3 linked regions of the Callithrix jacchus genome follow. The protein of the gene in region 3 interacts with the protein of the main gene of each other region in a biochemical or structural test. Links are inferred from orthologs where the notes say so. Each region holds a gene or a part of one and is shown on either strand. Other genes may lie near its edges.

Evidence for each region.
Region 1: the proteins of ERBB4 (region 3) and PTPN11 form a complex in vitro, tested with the Homo sapiens proteins (2 studies listed by BioGRID, with this or other methods). The link is inferred for Callithrix jacchus from reciprocal best matches to the Homo sapiens genes ERBB4 and PTPN11.
Region 2: the proteins of ERBB4 (region 3) and RASA1 form a complex in vitro, tested with the Homo sapiens proteins (2 studies listed by BioGRID and IntAct, with this or other methods). The link is inferred for Callithrix jacchus from reciprocal best matches to the Homo sapiens genes ERBB4 and RASA1.

What each region holds. Positions count from the first base shown.
Region 1 is NC_133510.1:115,438,851-115,445,124, reverse strand, and holds part of PTPN11 (tyrosine-protein phosphatase non-receptor type 11), read right to left. Parts: intron 3,640-6,274; coding exon 3,508-3,639; intron 1-3,507. UniProt on the Homo sapiens protein: Acts downstream of various receptor and cytoplasmic protein tyrosine kinases to participate in the signal transduction from the cell surface to the nucleus. Positively regulates MAPK signal transduction pathway. Dephosphorylates GAB1, ARHGAP35 and EGFR.
Region 2 is NC_133503.1:123,600,507-123,607,253, forward strand, and holds the start of RASA1 (ras GTPase-activating protein 1), read right to left. Parts: upstream 4,402-6,747; 5' UTR 3,813-4,401; coding exon 3,256-3,812; exon of another isoform or gene 3,169-3,255; coding exon of another isoform or gene 3,131-3,168; intron 1-3,130. UniProt on the Homo sapiens protein: Inhibitory regulator of the Ras-cyclic AMP pathway. Stimulates the GTPase of normal but not oncogenic Ras p21; this stimulation may be further increased in the presence of NCK1.
Region 3 is NC_133507.1:133,071,326-133,077,599, forward strand, and holds part of ERBB4 (receptor tyrosine-protein kinase erbB-4), read right to left. Parts: coding exon 6,147-6,274; intron 4,140-6,146; coding exon 4,042-4,139; intron 2,712-4,041; coding exon 2,541-2,711; intron 1-2,540. UniProt on the Homo sapiens protein: Tyrosine-protein kinase that plays an essential role as cell surface receptor for neuregulins and EGF family members and regulates development of the heart, the central nervous system and the mammary gland, gene transcription, cell proliferation, differentiation, migration and apoptosis.

The sequences.
Region 1 (6,274 bases), on a different chromosome or scaffold from region 3:
TTCTATTTTCAGTAGAGACAGGGTTTTGCCATGTTGGCCAGGCTGGTCTTGTACTCCTGACCTCAAGTGATCTGCCAGCCTTGGCCTCTCAAAGTGCAGGGATTACAGGCATGAGCCACTTTGCCCAGCCTTAAGTGTCATTTTTAAAAGGGATTTAATAGGACACTTTTTACTTTTTTCTTTCTTCCTCTTCTTCTTCTTCTTTTTTTTTTTTTTTTTTTTTGAGATGGAGTTTCACTCTTGTTACCCAAGCTGGAGTGCAATGGCGCAATCTCGGCTCACTGCAACCTCCGCCTCCTGGGTTCAGGCAATTCTCCTGGCTCAGCCTCCTGAGTAGCTGGGATTACAGGCATGCGCCACCATGCCCAGCTAATTTTTTTTTTTGTATTTTTAGTAGAGACGAGGTTTCACCATGTTGACCAGGATGGTCTCGATCTGTTGACCTCGTGATCCACTGCCTCGGCCTCCCAAAGTGCTGGGATTACAGGCTTGAGCCACCACGCCCAGCCCTCTTCTTTTTTATAAGAGACAGAATCTCACTCTGTTGCCAAGGCTGGGGTGCAGTGGCACAATCGCAGCTCACTGCAACCCTGAACTCCTGAGCTAACGTGATCCTCTTGGCTCAGCCTCCCAAAGTGCTGGGATCACAGGCATAACCCACGGCGTTCAGTCCCCCATTTCTACTTGACAGCTACATTGTTCCAGTTCCTCTCACAATCTCTACCATAGCTTCAGCCTCTGCCCCTCCCCATCATCAGTAGGACTGCACCCTCTCTGACATCAGAAATCCAAACATCCCACCCTGGGCCACAACTACACTGGCTCCCAGCTCCTTCTAGTCTCTCTGTCACTTCCGGTAGCCTCCAGATCACTGAGCCCTCCCTCCACTTTCCACCTGTCTCCTCCTGCCCCTGTCCCCCTCATCCAGCCAGGAGTCCCCATGCTGTGGGGACAGTCACTTTCTACCGTGTGCCTCCACTTCCTGACCTCTCCATCCACTGCACCTATGCAAATCCCAGGCCTGGGCGAACCACATACTCTCTGTTTTGTGCCCTAGGAGCCAAGTGTCCTTGGAGAAAAACCAGGTGGTGGATATCAGTATATTTTCATGTTCACCACCTCAGCTGGGCACTTGGCACAGCACAAAAATTTCTGGACTTCTTGCTCTGCTACACAATTATGATTTCATTCTTTTCTCCCTTTCTTCAAATATTCAAATATCTCTTCTTATTCCCTTTGACTGTCTGTTGATGGCCTTGCCTCAAGCTTCGGAGAGGATAGGGAAAATAATCGCTCTTAGCTCACCTACTGGCATCTGTGGCCACCTTCTCCTCTTGCCCTTCATTGCCACAGGAAAAAATGTGCCTCCATCAAGCAAAAACTCCATCCACAACGCGTCCCACCTCTCCTCCTCATCCCACCTCCACCCTTGCCTCCCTGACAGCTCCATTTCAATGTGTCCAAGGCATCTCAAACTTAGTGTGTCCACAAAGAGGTCCCTGCTGATCCTTCCAGCTTCCTCAAGTCCACTGCCCTTCACCCTGCCTTCTCAGGCTAGAAAACCACCAGTCATCCTGCATGCCAGCCTCGCCCTTGGTACACTCCATCATTAAATCCCTGCCAGGCTAACTGCCTCCAGTTAGCTCTACTGGGTCCTCTTCTTTCTGGCACCCCTGCCACTGGCCTAGTTCAAGCCCTATCATCTTTCACTCTGACAACTGCAGTACCTCCTAATCAGTCCTATCCCTAGACCCACTTTTCCTCGCTCCAGTCTCTACAGGGTGGAGGGGAATCTCTTAAAAGCTTAAATCCAACTATGGCTGCTTACTATACTTAGGATAACCTCCCCCAACCTCCTTTGCCAACTCAAATACATTGTTTCCTATGCCTTAAGAACCTCCCTTCCAGCTGGGCGCACTGGGCGCAGTGGTTCATGCCTGTAATCCCAGCACTTTGGGAGGCCGAGGCAGGCAGATCACAAGGTCAGGAGTTCGAGACCAGCATGACCAACATGGTGAAACCCCATCCTTACTAAATATACAAAAATAAGCTAGGCATGGTGACACACGCCTGTAATCCCAGCTACTCAGGATGCTGAGGCAGGATAATCACTGGAACTCGGGAGGCAGAGGTTGCAGAAAGACAAGATCATGCCACTGTACTCCAGCCTGAGTGACAGAGCGAAATTCCATCTCAAAAAAAAAAAAAAAAAAAAACCTCCTTTCCTTTGGCCAGGTGCACTGACTCATGCCTATAATCCCAGCACTTTGGGAGGCTACTTGTGGTAGGAGAATCACTTACCCCCAGGAGTTCAAGACCTGCCTGGACAATATAATGAGACACCCATCTCTACAAAAAATTTGAAACTTGGGTGGGCATGGTGGCACAAGCTGTAGTCGCCAGCTACATGGGAGGCTGGGGCGAGAGGATCACTTCAGCTTAGGAAGTTGAGGCTGCAGTGAGCCGTGACTGCACCAGCACATTCTAGTCTGAGTGACAGAGCAAGGTTCTGTTTAAAAAAAGTCCTTTCCCCCTCTAAATGAACCCTAAACTCCTGCATTTTTTCTTTCTAGCCTTGATTACGGTTTGTAATGATATATTTATATGTGCGATTACTGGGCTGGTAGATTACTGGCCAGTACAGGGTACACTTGGGAGTGCAGGGACTCCATCTGTTTTGTTCCCCAGCTCTATCTCCAGCAAGCAGCATGGTGTCAGGAACCAAGAGGTCATTAAACAAACATCTCTGAATGAATAGATGAATGTCCACATGACTGTTCAGATGCCCAGCTGAACACGTCCAGAAGAAAACAAATCACTGCCCACATCAGTTCTCCCTCCAGCTTTTGTGGTGTCTGCCACAGCACCACTGTCCACTCAGACTCAAACCTCTACATTGTGTCTTGAATCCCTCTTCCTCCTCCAAAGGCCAAACAATCCTCACGCCCTGCAGACTTCACCCCCAGCACTTCTCACATCCACTGCTTCTCTTCCAGTTTATTCTGCCATTTTACATAATATTCCTTTCCAAAGGAAGGAACAAAAAAGAACAACTGCTGAAGTCTGTGGATACTTGGAGAGGAGGCCATCAACCTTGGCTCCTGCAGAGGCCTCCTAACAGGCCTTGCAACCACTCAGGTCACCCCATTCCAATCTCCCACCCAGGGCTGGTCTTGAACTCCTGGGCTCAAGCGATCCACCTGGAAGGCTCAAGCCTCCCAAAGTGCTGGGATTACAAGCATAAGCCTCAGCGCCTGGCCAGTTACTTGTTTTTAAATCTTCCATCTCTCTAGGCTCGATAAGGGCAGGAACACCACCTGCCTTGTTCACAGTGTAACAGTACTGCCTAAACTGTACCTGGCACATAGAAGGAACCCAATAAATGGCTACTGAATCAATGAGTGAGCGAAAGCACGAATGTATGCAAACATGAGTAACTGCAAGACCCTGAATTACTACATACCATCAGCACTTCCCAAAGTCTCTAGAATACGACAATATACTTACTTGTCCAACCTTTGAAAGTTTTAGTTCTCGTAGCGTATAGTCATGAGCAGCACTTTCTTTGACGTTCCTAACACGCATGACCCCATATTCTTTGAGAGCATACTCATCAGGCCAGTATTTGACACACTTACTCTGGAAGGGATCAGAGAAAAAGAAAGTTAATTCTGTGAACTCTGAAATCAAAACCTAAACCAGCAACAAACAAATGTGCAGGTCTTGCTTAATGACCACCAATGTGGAAAACGGCCTGTCTAGCATCTGTTAGGTTTTCGAAGAAAAGGAGAGTTCAAATAAGAAAAGCAGGTGCTTGGAGGACCGGGCAGAAGTGGGAGGAGAAAGGAGGCTGGTGCAGTTACCTGATCCAAGCACGTGTCAGAGGAGAGTCAATGCTTGTTGATCTGTAAAGAATCAGGCTGGGCATGGTGGCTCACCTGTAATCCCAGCACTTTGGAAGGCCAAAATGGGCAGATCATTTGAGATCAGTAGTTCGAGGCCAGCCTAGCCAACATGGTGAAACCCCGTCTCTACTAAAAATACAAAAATTAGGCCAGGCATGGTAGCTCATGCCTATAATCCCAGCACTTTGGGAGGCTGAGGCAGGTAGATCACCTGAGGTCAGGAGTTCGAGAACAGCCTGGTCAACATGGTGAAACACCGTCTTTACTAATAATACAAAAATTAGCTGGGCATTGTGGTGCATGCCTATAATTTCAGCTACTTGGGAGGCTGAGGCAGGAGAATCGCTTGAATCAGGGAGGCAGAGGTTGCAGTGAGCTGAGCCCATGCCATTGCACTCCAGCCTGGGCAACAAGAGCGAAACTTCATCTCAAAAATATATATATATACAAAAATTAGTCAGGCATAGTAGCCGGTGCCTGTAATCACAGATACTTGGGAGGCTAAGGCAGGAGAATCATTTGAACCTGGGAGGCAGAGGTTGCAATGAGCTGAGATCATGCCACTGCACTCCAGCCCGGGCAACAGAGAGAGATTCCCTCTCAAAAAAAAAAAAAAAAGTTCTAACAAAAGCAGATGCAGGTGCTCGGAGGACTAAGCAGAAGTGGGAGGAGAAAAGCAGCTTGTGCAGTTGTCTGATCCAAGCACATGTCAAAGGAGAGTCAATGCTTGTTTATTTATCTCTAAGGAATCAAAGATGCAGAGAGAAAGACCAACCAATGTGAGAGTACTGGCTAGCAACCACTGAGGTCTGAATTCTAAGATCTGCCAGTCACTCCCTAGGGAAGGCAAGCATAGAGTCTGGAGGAGTCTAAGCTGCCCAACGAGCCAGACTGTCTGCTTCATTTCCGCACCAGTGTAGGAGGACTCTGTGCCTTATCTAACCCAAGTGTGAATAACTATATCACAGAAAGGCAGCCCATAGGGTTTTGAACCAGCTGCTTTTTCTATATCCAGACCCATCTGATACCTCCTCTACACGTCACTTTCCCTTAACTGGGTCCTGGGAATGCCAAGTCTGCAATAGCTGCTGGCTTTAAGAGCAGGTGATTGAAATATATGGCACCAAGAAAATTATTCTTGCTGCCAAAAAGGAAGCTATTTCACTCAATAGGAGATGAGTTTGTATCTATTTGGTGATGTGTCCTAGGCAGAGAATGCTTTTATGTTCTGTTGAATTCTGGGCAGTCATCCACACCACTTACTTTCCAAAACCACCATGACACAAATATCAGCAAGAGAAATTTACCTTGTATCTTAGGAAGACAGAGAAATTTACAGCTATAAAACTGGAAATAAGAAAGCAGCTACAGACATGAACAGTCACAGTAGATGATTAGTTGAAAGAAAAAAGAAAACATGGTAGGAGGAACATTTAATAGAAGGATGTGGTCTTAGCCGGGCACAGTAGCACATGGGAGCCACTTGGTGGCTGGCTGCAATCCCAGCACTTTGGGAGGCTGGGTGGATCACTTGAGGTCAAGAGTATGAGACCAGCCTGACCAACATGGTAAAACTCTGTCTCTTTTAAAATTACAAAAATTAGCCAGGTGTGGTGACACACACCTGTAATCCCAGCTACTCAGGAGGCTGAGGCAGGAGAATCGCTTGAATCTGGGAGGCAGATGCTGCAGTGAGCCAAGACTGTGCCACTGCACTGCAGGCTGGGTAACAGAGCAAGATATGGTCTCAAAAGAAGAAAAAGAAGAAGAAGAAGAATGTGGTCTTTTGGCTTTCTCTCCAGTATTTTATGGATCCAAACGCCTCTGACAGATTTGATGTAAATTTTAGTTTCCCCAAATAAACATTCCTAATATTAATTGTACTCTATGCTGTCACTGACCAATCAAGGCTGAGGACTGCTCCCAGTCACTACAGGGAACTCGTCACAGGATATAAAATTAAATCATGACTCTGAAAAGAATGTTTTAGCTAACTTTAAACATCAGCAAACTGCTGCAGCCCTGTCTCCAGCTTCTAAACTCCTTTGGAAACCTTGGCAAACAAATTCTAAAATATGAGAACTAACACATTAAAATAAGGCCTTTAAAATAGGGCCCAGGAATCAAACACAGTCCACAGTCTGGTTTGTCTTCTGTGCACTGGGGGGATACTGAGAGCAGGTTGTCAGAAAGGCCTGTAGAGAGTAATCAGCACCCATCATGTCATCCTCTCAGTACCACCAAAGTAAAAAGGAAGAAGGAGAGAGGGAGCAGAGACTTAGACACGGTGGTAAGGAGTGGGGCAGGGTGATTTCACCCTAATACCTGTCTATCCTAGGAGAGCTTCTGAAAGGGACTGATACTGATTC
Region 2 (6,747 bases), on a different chromosome or scaffold from region 3:
AGTGCTTAACCTACTGCTGGAAACGCTTATGAAGTTAAAATAAAATTATTAATATAATTAATCATGGTCGGCTTGATTTGGAGTTCAAAACTTTCTCTAAAACAGTTATTAATAAGGGAGACTCTATAACTGAAAGAATTAGTAGATAATTTAGTGATAGTAAAATATTATGACTACGGGGACGGGGACTGTGTATTTATCGAACACCTACTATTCCCCAAGTACTGTGCTGAATACAGCAGGGTATTCATTAAATCTTTAAAAAACAACCACATGAGGAAGGTACCATTCTTATCCCCATTTTACAGATGGGGAAACTGACCTTTCCAAGATCACACAGCTAGTAAGTGGCAGAGTCAGGATTCCAATCCAAATTTTTTCTAACTTCAGAATCCGCACACTTAACCACTACACTGTATTGCCTCCAGTGACTCTGGGTTGATATCTAAGATAAAATAAGAAGGAAATTTGTACTTCTCAGTGGCAAATTTTAAAAAGATATTAGAAATGGAGGGTATTTTGGCCAGGCATGGTGGCTCCTGCCTGCAATCCCAGTACTTGCAGGCCAGGGTGGGCGGTTCACATGATCAGGTGTTCGAGACTAGCCTGATCAACACAGTGAAACCCTGACTCTACTAAAAAATACAAAAATCAGCCTGGTGTGTTGTTGGATGCCTGTAATCCCAGCTACTCAGGAAGCTGAGGCAGGAGAATCACTTGAGCCCGGGAGGCAGAGGTTGCAGTGATCCGAGATGGCGCCACTGCACTCCAGCCTAGGCAACACTCTATCTCAAAAAATAAATAAACAAAAAGAAACGGAGGTTATTTTTTAGAACATAAACAAGTCTCATATACACAGTCATACGAATATAACTTTTTCTTTCCAAATACATGTAATCATGATGAAAATCCCACACAATCAATTTCTCACAATTTTTCATATGTACTCAATCATGTTTTTTGTTTTTTTTCTTGACAGAGTTTCCCTCTTGTTGCCCAGGCTGGAGTACAATGGTGTGATCTCGGCTCACTACCTCCGCCTCCCTGATTTTAGCGAGTCTCCTGCCTCAGCCTTTCGAGTAGCTAGGATTACTGGTGCCCACCACCACACCCGGCAAACTTTTGGGGGTTTTTTGGTGTTTTAGTAGAGATGGGGTTTCACCATGTTGGCCAGACTGTTCTCAAACTCTGACCTCAGACCTCCCAAAGCACTGGAAATAGTCATGAGCCACCAGACCGGCCCAATCGTGTTTATTATTAAAAATTTAATGGGAACACCCCGTATCTTCCCCTCAATTTTGCTGTGAACCTAAAACGACTCTAAATAAAATAGTGTTTTGGGCTGGGTGCAGTGGCTCATGCCTGTAAATCCCAGCACTTTGGGAGGCCGAAACAGGTGGATCACCTGAAGTCAGAGTTCGAGACCAGCCTGGCCAATACAATAAAACCCCAACTCTACTAAAAATACAAAAATTAGCCAGGCGTGGTGGAGGGAACCTGTAATCCTAGCTACTCAGGAGGCTGAGGCAGGAGAATCACTTGAACCTGGGGGGCAGAGGTTGCAGTGAGCCAAGATCACTGACACTTCACTCCAGCCTGGATGAAAGAGCAAAACTCTGTCTTAAAAAAAAAAAAAACTATTAACACAAGTTTTTTTCAACTACAATATCCTAAATATATCTAATTTAGTTATAAACTGTCATAAGACTAGATTCTTTCAGTATGAAAAGTTACATTCTGTTCTTCATAACCACGGTACTGAGCATGCAGTGAGCATTTAATAAAAACTGAACTTTTTTCAAAAGCAGTGCTGTAGATGGCATTTTTAACCCTCTCAGAACACTCCCAAAGACTCTGCATTACAGACATAAGTTGGAATACCAACTTATGTCTTGGTATTCCAACTTATCACTTGAGGTCAGGTGTTCAAGACCAGTATGGCCAACATGACAAAACCTCGTCTCTACTAAAAATACAAAAATTCTCCAGGCATGGGGCACGTTCCTGTAATCCCAGCCACTCGGGAGGCTGAGGCAGGAGAATCGCTTGAACCTGGGATGCAGAGGTTGCAGTGAGCCGTGATGGCACCACGCACTCCAGCCTGGGCAACAGAGCAAGACTCCGTCTCAGAGGAGAGAAAAGAAAAAGAAACAAAACCTCTGAATTGTCCAGCGTGACTGTCAACATATGAACCAAATCTTTTGTCCTGATATGCACCAAGGTTGTTAAAATTCTAAGGGTCAATTAAGAGTTACATTCGAAATCTATAAAACAAGTTTTGCCTGATACCACTTCCCATCTCAACATTCTCATCAAGGTTCACCTTTACAAATAAACACCTAAGTTCAATTAAGAGAACAAGTGAGGAGGAGGTATTAACTAACATGAAAAACAGTCACTGTCCTGTATATTCTGCAGACTGTAGAACTTAATTTTCAAATAGAATACTATTCTGGCCACCAACAAAAATGCTTAAGGGAAGATTTATTAATTTTGTTTTACCTCACTGTTGTACTTCTAATGTCTCAACTATAAAAGCAGTGCATTAATAAGTGGGAAGCTATGGAAGAAGATACAGACATTGTTGGAGTATAGGCTCTTAATCACACCTATAATTCACACTACTGCTTTCCTTTCTCTCTGACCCAAGTTCTCATTAAATGACTCTAAGACTTTTCTGCATCACTGTTTTCTATAATCTGAAGCTGAGATGTGCACTGAAATAAAAACATTCTAACCAATATATTTCTCAAATTATTAATATAGTACTTGTTTAAATATTGGTATTCAAAGCTTCCCACTCATCATCTAGCTTTATCAAGGAACACACACAGGTTATACACTATGACTGCCTTGGTAGCTGCAGCTTGACTGAATCCTGGGACATCACCTCAACTTGGAAGGGACAGAACCATATCTGGTTCTCACTGGATACACATTTTCTCATGCTTTCCAGCTTAAAGACTTTACATCTTCCCAGAGGAACAATAAATGTAGGAAGACACCAGGTAGTATGCCTGTAAGGAGGATGAGTGATCAAATTAAATTCCTACTTCAAGAAATCTGAAACTTCAAAAACTTTTCCTAACAAATCACAGCTGAAAAGATTAAAAAAAAAAGGATGATTTACCCCTTCATTCTCTCTTTCCTGGAGACAGCTTCACACATTCTGAAGAGCAGTCTTAACTTAACTGAAGAGCAGTCTTAACTTACTGAAGAGCAGTCTCAACTTACTGAAGAGCAGTCTCAACTTACTGGTTAGTTGGAGGAGCGGTCAACGGTATGGCCACCTCTTCCTCCTCGTATTCTGGTCCATCCAGAGAGTCACCTTCGTCCACTGTCCCCAGACCCGCCCCCAAAGGGGGCAGGTGAGGGGGAGGAGGCAGAGGGGGAAATACACCTCCTGGTCCGAGAGTCTCAGCAGGCAACGAAGTGAGCAGCTTGGTGAGAGACATGTCTCCACTAGGTCCAGCAGCAGCAGCAGCAGCAGCAGCAGCAGCACCGGCCACGCCAGCAGCAGCACCAGCCACGCCAGCAGCAGTACCTCCGCCTGTCAGTCCGGCTCCCCCCAATGCCCCTGCCACAGACCCGGTTCCTAGGAACCCTGACCCCAAAGCGGCTCCGCCACCCAGAGTCCCAGCCACTCCGGTCTCCACCAGCCCAGGATAGGGGGCGGCTGCCACTGGCAGGGCCGCGGGTATCCTCACCCGACACACTGCGGGATAGGCACTGGAGCCCGCAGCCGCGCCGCCTCCCCCTGCTCCGGCAGTTACCGGGCCGCCTTCCTCACTGCCGGCCTCGGCCGCCATCATGTTGAAGCCCGCTCTACTCTGCCCTACACTGCCCGCCCGGGAGCCCCGGGGGCCACCAGGCCCGGGTTCCGAGCCGCCCCACCCAGGCGCGTCTCCCCTTCAGCTCCCCAGGCGGAGGAAACAACAACAAAAGGAGAGAGCCGGCCGCCGCGCCCCCTCCCAGGGCCACAGCCCAGGCTCCGGAGCTGCCTGGGTTACGGGAAGCGAAGTGGGCAAAAAACCCAACGCCTGCACAAACGCCACCCAAACCTCACTGCACACACCCACACTCACGCACACACACACGTACAGAAGCGAAAACTTCCTGACTGCACTAAAGAAGATAGGAAGCACAGGGAAAGAGGCTGAGGCGGCTATCGCTCCTTTAGACACCACCACCGCTTCTTCACCACCCCAGTTCCGGCCACCCACACCGCAGCCACCGCCGGTGCCGCTGTATACGCTGGGACCACTGCAGCCCCTTCATCCTCCACCAGGCAGATGGTGGGGAGGGACAAGAGAAAGAGGGGCTGGGTAATGAGGAAATCTACTGAACTGCTCACTACCTGGAGCTCTCAGTGAGTGAAACCGGAGAGAGAGAAAGGAAGGCGGGGCAGGGGAGGAGGGACGGAGGGAAGGAAGGGCGGAGGAGGGAGAAGGGCAGCTTGTGCGCAGGCGCGTTCCCGGAGCGGTGGCGGGGGGCCGGACCTGGAGGAAAAGGAAGAGTCCAGAGGGAAGGAAGCGGCGGGGACGCGCGGTGCGTGGTCGCGCATGATGTCCTGCTCCGGTTCGAAGCGTGTGTCGGCTCGGCTGCATCATCTGTCGGCGTGGCTGGCGACGCGCGCCTGTCTCCCGGGGCTTTGTTTGATGAGCAGGAGAAGAGGGAAGGGGTACCTGAGCTCGCGGGCGCTCAGCACTGTTAAAGCCTGAGAAACGAGAAGGGGACCGGGAGGTGGTGGAGAGGAAACGGGGGAAAGGGAAAGGAAAATGCCCAGAAACTACCGGAGGAAGAAACAGCCTTAGCCAGCAGCGCAGAAACCAGGCAAGGGTCAGGTAGCTTTGAAGATCAGGGCAGTACTATTTATGTTTTCTTTTTAGTTTCATGCTATAAATCACCGTGACTATCACACACGCACAAATAAAATAGATTCTGAAACTCAAAACGAAATAAAAGGCACCATATGAGAAGGATGGAGAATTTTGGTAGAAATGGTGGTTATGAAGTCAGATTTCTATGTATAGGCGCACGCTTTTCTTTACCAACTGTCTCATATACTTAACCTTTGCCGTTTCAAGTATGTTGGATACTAATGAACCGGGGTGGGGGGTGGGGGTGCCACAGAAAACACTCATCAATGCACCTTTGTCCTCGTCGTAATCCACAGTGCAAGCACCTTCAACAAGTCAAATGTCAAAAATGTCCCAGTTATGATTATATATCGTTTCAAAAAGTATCAATAAATTGAAAACTCATATTTAATACAATTACGGAGAAGGGTTTTGTCTTTTATACTAAAATATATACAAACTATTATATGCTTCATATAGAGGGAGCTTCCCATGGTTTGAAATTAACCGTATTGTTATTTTTAATTCTCCCACGAGTGATCCCAACCACATTGACTACCACTTAATATTGATCTTCGAGATCAATGTTTTCTCTGCTAAGGATGATTAAACCAACACTAGGGATGGCAAGTGGCTTTGATAGAAACCCAGGAAAAAGAGAAAAGACCACTAAAAGAGGTGACAAGATGCAGGCAATGGATCTTCTTTGTAAGCTTGCCTATTTACCTAGTCAATGACAACAATCTACCTTGATTAAGGAATAGTCCTGGGGCCACCATTGTGCTTATCTCTTAGGCAGTGTACCACCTGGCAGGAGGAAGATGGACCACTCACAGGAAATAGAGTTCTCAGAGTGAACTGAGGTCAGCAACATCCTAGGAATTCAGAAATGCCACCTCAGACCCGCTAAATCATAAACTGCAGCAATTCCATTTTAACAAGCCCTCCAAGTGATCTTTTGCACACTAAAGTTTGAGAACCACTATATTAATGTATAGTATACTAATCAAGAAGGAGTTATACAATACCTAAAAAACAGAAATAATAGATGTCATTCATTAGGTAGGTGGGTAAGATATGTGGGTTTTGAGTTGCTAAGCCCTGTGCTGTTCTAGAAATGAGAATGAAATAGTCCCGTAATACTTAATAATGAAGTACTACTTACGGTGGCTTCCCTGAGAACAGTTTTCTTTTCTTTTAAATTTAGACCCTCAGTTAGCCAAGACTATCAAAATTCCTACTCTACTTACTGCCTGCTGTGTAAACCCCAAGTGCAACATTCCCAACAAATCTTCACATAGCCTGTGCTTGAAAACCTGCAGTGTGTTAACATCCCAATCCTCCAGCATTCCTGCCCCAATCATCGCTGTCAGTCCTTGAATGCAAGACATTGGACTGCCAGGTTATCACCAGCTCTTGGTTATCACTGATCTCTACACGTTCACACATGATCTGTATGTTGCCTGGGAGTCCAGGTGAGGCTCACTACTCTTACTGCAGGATTACCTCCTCCTTTTTTGACAATTCTTTAGCACTTTTAAAGGTCAATATTTAATGCAGTCTAAAATCTATCAAACACTCAGTTAGATAGTTTTCTAGACTTTTAGGTGTATGGAGGACCTACAAAACTGTACTGCAGATACAAACTGTGTTCTATTTTACTGCCTAACCCTGTGCTAGGCAACCTCAGTATGCTACTTTGAACAGATCTTCATCCTTTTAACAAATACCAAATTTGATCAGCTCCCTTCCATGGAAATCAATTTCTTAACCAGTAGGAAAGACTTACTATGTCTATTTGTAAATCAACCTTTATGTTTAGCTTTAGAGTTAGCACTGTTCTTTTCATCCAAAGAAATTGCCACATATTTTTATGAGGTATATTCAA
Region 3 (6,274 bases):
ACTGCATTAACAAGCTTTTCATAGATGGTGGGTAGAATCCCTTATAAGAAAGTGTTATTATTTATGATATATGATATTGACAAGGAAAAAGATGAAAATGGTGACTCTAAAAGTAGGGTAATATGTATTTCTTTACCTAGCTTTATAAATACTTTGCAATTTTTAAAAAGTTAATTGCTTATTACTCATATAAGATAGGCACTATTGCATTTAGAAAATGAGTAAACAAAGTCATAGAACATTATCCACAGTTTCTCAATTAGTGCACAGTGGAGTCTGTTTTCAAAATGCATTATTATTTTTTTGGTTTCAAAGTCCATCACGTATGCTCAAGAAACATTTGATCAAAATTCACTTTTAAGATATTTCGTTAGCACATAATTTAGCCACAGAACTTAAAATGAAAGTAATTTATTTTCTAATTTAGCCATGTTAGAAAGAAAGGAATGTGACATTTGCACATATTAGAAATTTCTGTGAAAGTTATATAAAGCCAGACTGGAAAACATTAGAACAATATACATGACAAATAAAGCCTTTTAAATGCCTGAACATAAAATGATATTTAAACACAATTTCTTTTCTAAGGACTGAAAAAATAAAAAATCTACAGGTAACTTTGTCTAATAATGTGGAATAAGTAATGATACCAAAGGTCAAATAAATCCTCCTGTGATTTCTACTTTGTCTCAATAATTCCATCTAGTTAGCTCAAATCTTTATTAAGAATTTCTTGAATTGAAAATTATAAATTAACATGAACAAAAAGTTGAAAAGAACTCTTATAAAAAGATTTATATCATTTCAATAAACTTTTTTTTGAAATTTCACTGTTGTAGCCAGAAGTAATGAATTTACCACTTAAAATTATAAATATGAGGGGATATAATTTGGTAATTTTGCATAGTGTACAGAAGGGAAGACAAAGGGCCTCCTTTACATACCTTAAGAGCTTTCTTCCCTCTTAAAAGACTGGTTATTCTTCATTACCTATCCCTTGATCTTATTTTTAAAACTTTTAGTTATCTACTCTCCATTGGGCATGTGACAAAATTTTCATTTTGGGCTACAATAATTTTTTTAATAGAAAAATTAATTGAGGTCTCCATCTTTGTCTTTTTCCGTATCAGATCTTCTAAGTGGAGGTAGATGGGCAAAAGGTGCAAGGCAGGTTTCAGATGCATTTTATAAGAAAACCACCTGGGAATTTCCCAAACAAGACAAATCCCAGACTCCAATCACATCGTGGAAATCTAATTACATCGTGGAAATCTAATTTCATCATGGAAATAACATGCTTCATAACTCTGAAGCAAAACTACAGTGTAGTAGGCAGATCTCTAGCTTACGTTATTCCTGTCTTCCACTGACTAGCTGTGTGACACCAGTCATTTCACCTGACTACTCTGTGGCAAGTTTGTTCATCTGAAAGAAGGGATGATAATAATAATAGAACCTTGTGAAGTTTGTTTAAGGATTAGGAGGTTAACATATATGTGTTGAATAGTAAACACCAGGGGAATATTACTTATTACTGTCAATATGAAATAAAGCAAATTATTTTAGATAATGAGCAGTAAGTAAGTTGAAAATGTTCTTATGGCTATGGTCAAGAGAAATTGGATGCTGTCTGTTCTACTAGCTGTGATAATGTTCTTAAAGAAGGAGACAAGGAAAAGAATTATCTTCTACAAAAAGTTAAGCATCATATTTATATCTTAGCAATGAAAGAAATTGATTACAGACACAAATTTACAAATTCATGCTCTGTAATGGTCAGTGAATACTGGATTACAGCACTTATGCTGTCCCTATATCTGTGTCATTTTTTTCATTAAGGTAGACACTTCTTGAAAGCAGTTGTACCAAAATTCCTTCACTCTTAAATGTATACTAATGCTTCACACACAGTGGTACTCAATATATGTTGAATGAATGATGAATAAATTTATAAAAGTAAAAAATGCATGGATTTGACAGCTTTCAAAGAAACAATGGATTTCATGTAGAGTAGGTTTAACATTTAAAATGAAATAGAAATTCTTTACAGAAGCCTCTTTCAAAACTTAAATCTACTTTTTAGAAATGATTCAGCAGCCTTTTCGATATGATTAAGTTCAAAGGACTGCATGGTTTTCTGTGTTTCTACTTCAACTTGACAGAGATTTATACTTGTATTCTTAAGAAGGAAAAGTAGAAAGCCTACTTGGTAGGAATTTTCATTTATTTATATACACATATGGTTGTATTAGTTGGAATTGTTTTTCAAATTTGATTTGTTTTTAAATTAAGATGAGGAAAATGTTTTTTCTTTGGTAATCTTGAAGGTATTTCAATATACATGTTGCACTGTCCAAGCCTGTCTTCCAAAATTCTATATAGAAAGATTGGCACATTTTTTTCTAGGTATGGTATATTTTTAATCTAGGCATCACACTGATTTGAGCTATATAATTATTCAAAATGTTAGTGCTTATAATCTATTTACATGATTTTATATCTCAGAAGTAATATAATATGTGTATATACTTCCTTCTTACCCTATTTGAGTCAATTCTTGCTCTGGAAGTATAAATGGGAGGTGGGATGTTGAAAGCCTGAGGGACCAAGTACTCCTCAGCATCCATCATATCTTCCAAATCTTCTTCATCCAAGAGATTCTGAAAGAACTTGCTGTCATTTGGACTGGGAAGCTTCATTCGATCATCACCCTAAAAGATTACCCATCAGACACAAATATGACTTTTTTGTTTTTTATCTTAAATATGTGGTCTCTGCAATTAATTTATGTAATATCAAAACAAACCGTTGAAAAATTCATTCACACATTTTAAAAAAACAAGTCTTTAGCACAGCACTAGCCATTAAGAAACCTATAACATGCTTAGATATGACAGGGTCAGATAAACAAATTTTATACTAGAATATTATGATAAATACTGTTAAACAAAAGAAAGCAAAATTCAAAAGTTGTTTTTAGGGCGGTAAAGTCAATTTCAGGTCTGAAAATAATTGTTCATTGCTCAGATCATATGTGGGTTGCAACTTTAAACAATAAAAGGCGATTAACTTATCAACCTTTATTTTATTTGGTTGGTTTGATGCTGTAGGATTATTAGGCCTATAGGGTCTATACTTTATTCTATAGCATACTGGCTACATTATTAAAGTAGTGGCATTCAAAACTCACAGTGCAAGTGTCAAATAGAGTAAAGGTGCATGAGGCAGACACCAAGAGCATAACCCTTGTTATGCTCTTTCTCACCTCATCTATTAAGTATTTTTCCTATAACAATTTCAATTTATGAAAACTAATTTTGGGGAAAAATAAATGGAAATAAGTATCTTCTAAAACCGAGCTTTTATCTTTATGTCAGACTATTGATATGAAAATAAAGGCTACCTTGTTTTACTTAGGAAACATAATTCACTCTAGTCCAAGGCTCATTTGTTTATAGTTTAGGTGAAAATAGTCAGAGAACCATATTATTTTTAAGTTGTCCTGTCTGTTTTTCTAGTGTTAAATGTAAAATATTCCTTTGGATGGTGGATATGCATCAATTCATTTGAATTGAGTTATTGCTTGGATACTGCATCTCTCTCCAAATAAAGCAAAACATTTAAAAATATTTTTGGTGAAATTAAATATTAATATACTGAATCTTTTGATTCATTGTCTTCAAGCATGGGCAACATTAAAACAAATCTGTCTTTTGTTCTGAAAAATGAAAATTATGCTAATGAACATGACTTACACTTAATAAAATCAAAGTCTAAAATCAGTGTCTCAGGATTTAGACCTTTTTATGTATATGTATAATCATAATTATCTGTTCAATATCAGAGTCACCTGAATACTAAGGGAAGGTGGATCTGACATGAAGTAAAACTCTTTTTCATAAGTCATTTCACTTGATAATCTGCTTAATTAAACAGTATGACAGTGGCCATTTCCACAGTTCCAAAGTCCTGATATTATTCATATTTTGCAGTGAGTTTGCCATCAGCCTAGTCTTAAAGGCATAAGTCAAATGTACTAACCTGAATAACTAGGTATCTTTGAGGGTCTCGAGCCATCCTTGAAAATTCAGCAGCCAGTTCCTTAAATTTAGGTCTACTGTCAGCATCAATCATCCAACCTGGAAATTTACAGTGAAAGATGTCACTATATCCATAATTAGAAGTTGAGATATAAATTTTGTGCAAATATGAGCAAAAGTTTGAAAAATTTTGTTTTAATCATAATCTGAAAAATAAAGCTAGTAAAAGAAACAGTTGGTAAGGCTTTATCAGTTTCTTTGTTGATATTCCTAACTAAATGTAATATACTATAAAACAAAAGATAACTGTTTTCCTCTGATGTGTATAGATGAGGTGACTACAATATAAGTTATCATTTTGTATTAGGAGTGACATGGGAGAAAAAATTTGGTTACAATGCTTACACTAGCACAAAGGAGAAAAAAGGAATTAAAAGCAACTTTCTTGTGCTACATTTGTCCTGGTGGGGGATAGGAAAAAAACTAATGCAAAGTGACTGACGGTAATGGCTGTTCAGCAATAGATACTAGTTTATCTTAGTACTATCTTGTCTAGCATAAAAACACTATCAGCAATTTTCAAGGTATGTATTAGTATTTAGCCAGGAGTCTAGATAAAGTAGACCTTATCTCTACAGTCTCTGTTAAGCTAATGAGATGACAAGAATAAAAGTACAAAGCTTTCCTTGATTTTCCTGCCAAATGATCCTCTTCTTAGGTGTTAAAACCCCCAAAGAAAGGTAAAACTCTCTGTTAGGCAAAGTATTTCGTTGGTTTTACATAATTTCATCAGAGCTAAATTCTGATGAATTTAAATCATTTCCTATGCTAGTTATAGGATTAAATTATATAAGGCATGCATGTTTTTAAACTTTCTTCCATAGATGTCTACCAAACAATATTTGAGAGAATAAGGCTGTAAAGCTTGTTCCTTCCTTTTCTGGGAGTTTGGTTTTTATTTCTATTCTGGAAATTCTTTGGGTGTCATTTTATGTATCATTAATGTGATCTGCTTTTTTCCTCTCCAAACAAAGCACAAATGCTCTGTATTCTATATGCATTCATTTAAAAAATGCTTGGTAATGCCAAGATACTAATGAGAAAATAGATGTTTCTGAAACCATTGAAGCCAAAAAAGGTTAAACACAGTTGAGGTATCGGTTTCTCTCCAACTAAATATTGAGTAAATAGAACTATGCTTAGTGAAAAGGGCATGCTGACCTGAACTGCAAAGAACATTTTTTATTTCCTCCCTCACTGTCAGAATGTATCACACATGTCATGAATATAAATCTGAGTAGACCTGGGTCCAAAGTCTCTTATTAATAAGATGCTTATTCACCTTCACCAGTTTGTTTCTTTGCTAACCCCATGTAAATCAGAAGGGGAAAACCTTAGATTATACAAGAGATTTCTGCATGTTAATCTCACTTAAATTAAGCCAGAAACTCCAGAGACTTCCGTAATTCTATTTAAATTAAGGATCTGAGCTTCAAAAATACATTTATAATACATATGTGTCTGGGGCATAGGAAGTTTGATGTAAACAAATGATCAAATTGATAAAAGGTAACATTTATAATTTATTTTTAGCTCACTGTAGATTCATTTCTTCCCACTTCCCACTTTGTCCTGCTAATCTGCTCTTGACTAAAACTGGTAGACCTGTTTCTATTAAATTAATTTTTAAAACTATCAGCTTCAAGCTTTTTTCCTTTATGTTTAGATCATTCATGTAGCCTGATATTTTCCCATAAAGGTCCCTAATGTTATTACTAACACTCATGTTATGTTATTACTAACACATAACACATGAGTGTTAGTAATAACATTACTGTGTCTAATTACATCTTTTTACGACAGGCAATTTGACTGTCATGGAGATTATGAGAGTAAAAGACTCATAATTTTGAATTTATAGCATGGAAGAATATTACTTTATATTAATAATAGTCACAACAAACAGGAGTTTGCATGTTCCCTTCATAATTGTTTTTGAACGGTTGTATTTTTCAATACAGAGAAACATTACACAGATTGAATAGTCTCTGCTATTACTGTACTAAGAATGATGATGGTGATGTTAACATTATTTTGCAATCTTACATTTGACCATGACCATGTAAACGTCAATAGTGCAGATGGGAGGTTGAGGCAAACGTTCTCCTTTCTCTAATAAATCAGGGATTTCTCGAGTTGGAATTCCATCATAGGGTTTTCCTCCAAAGGTCATC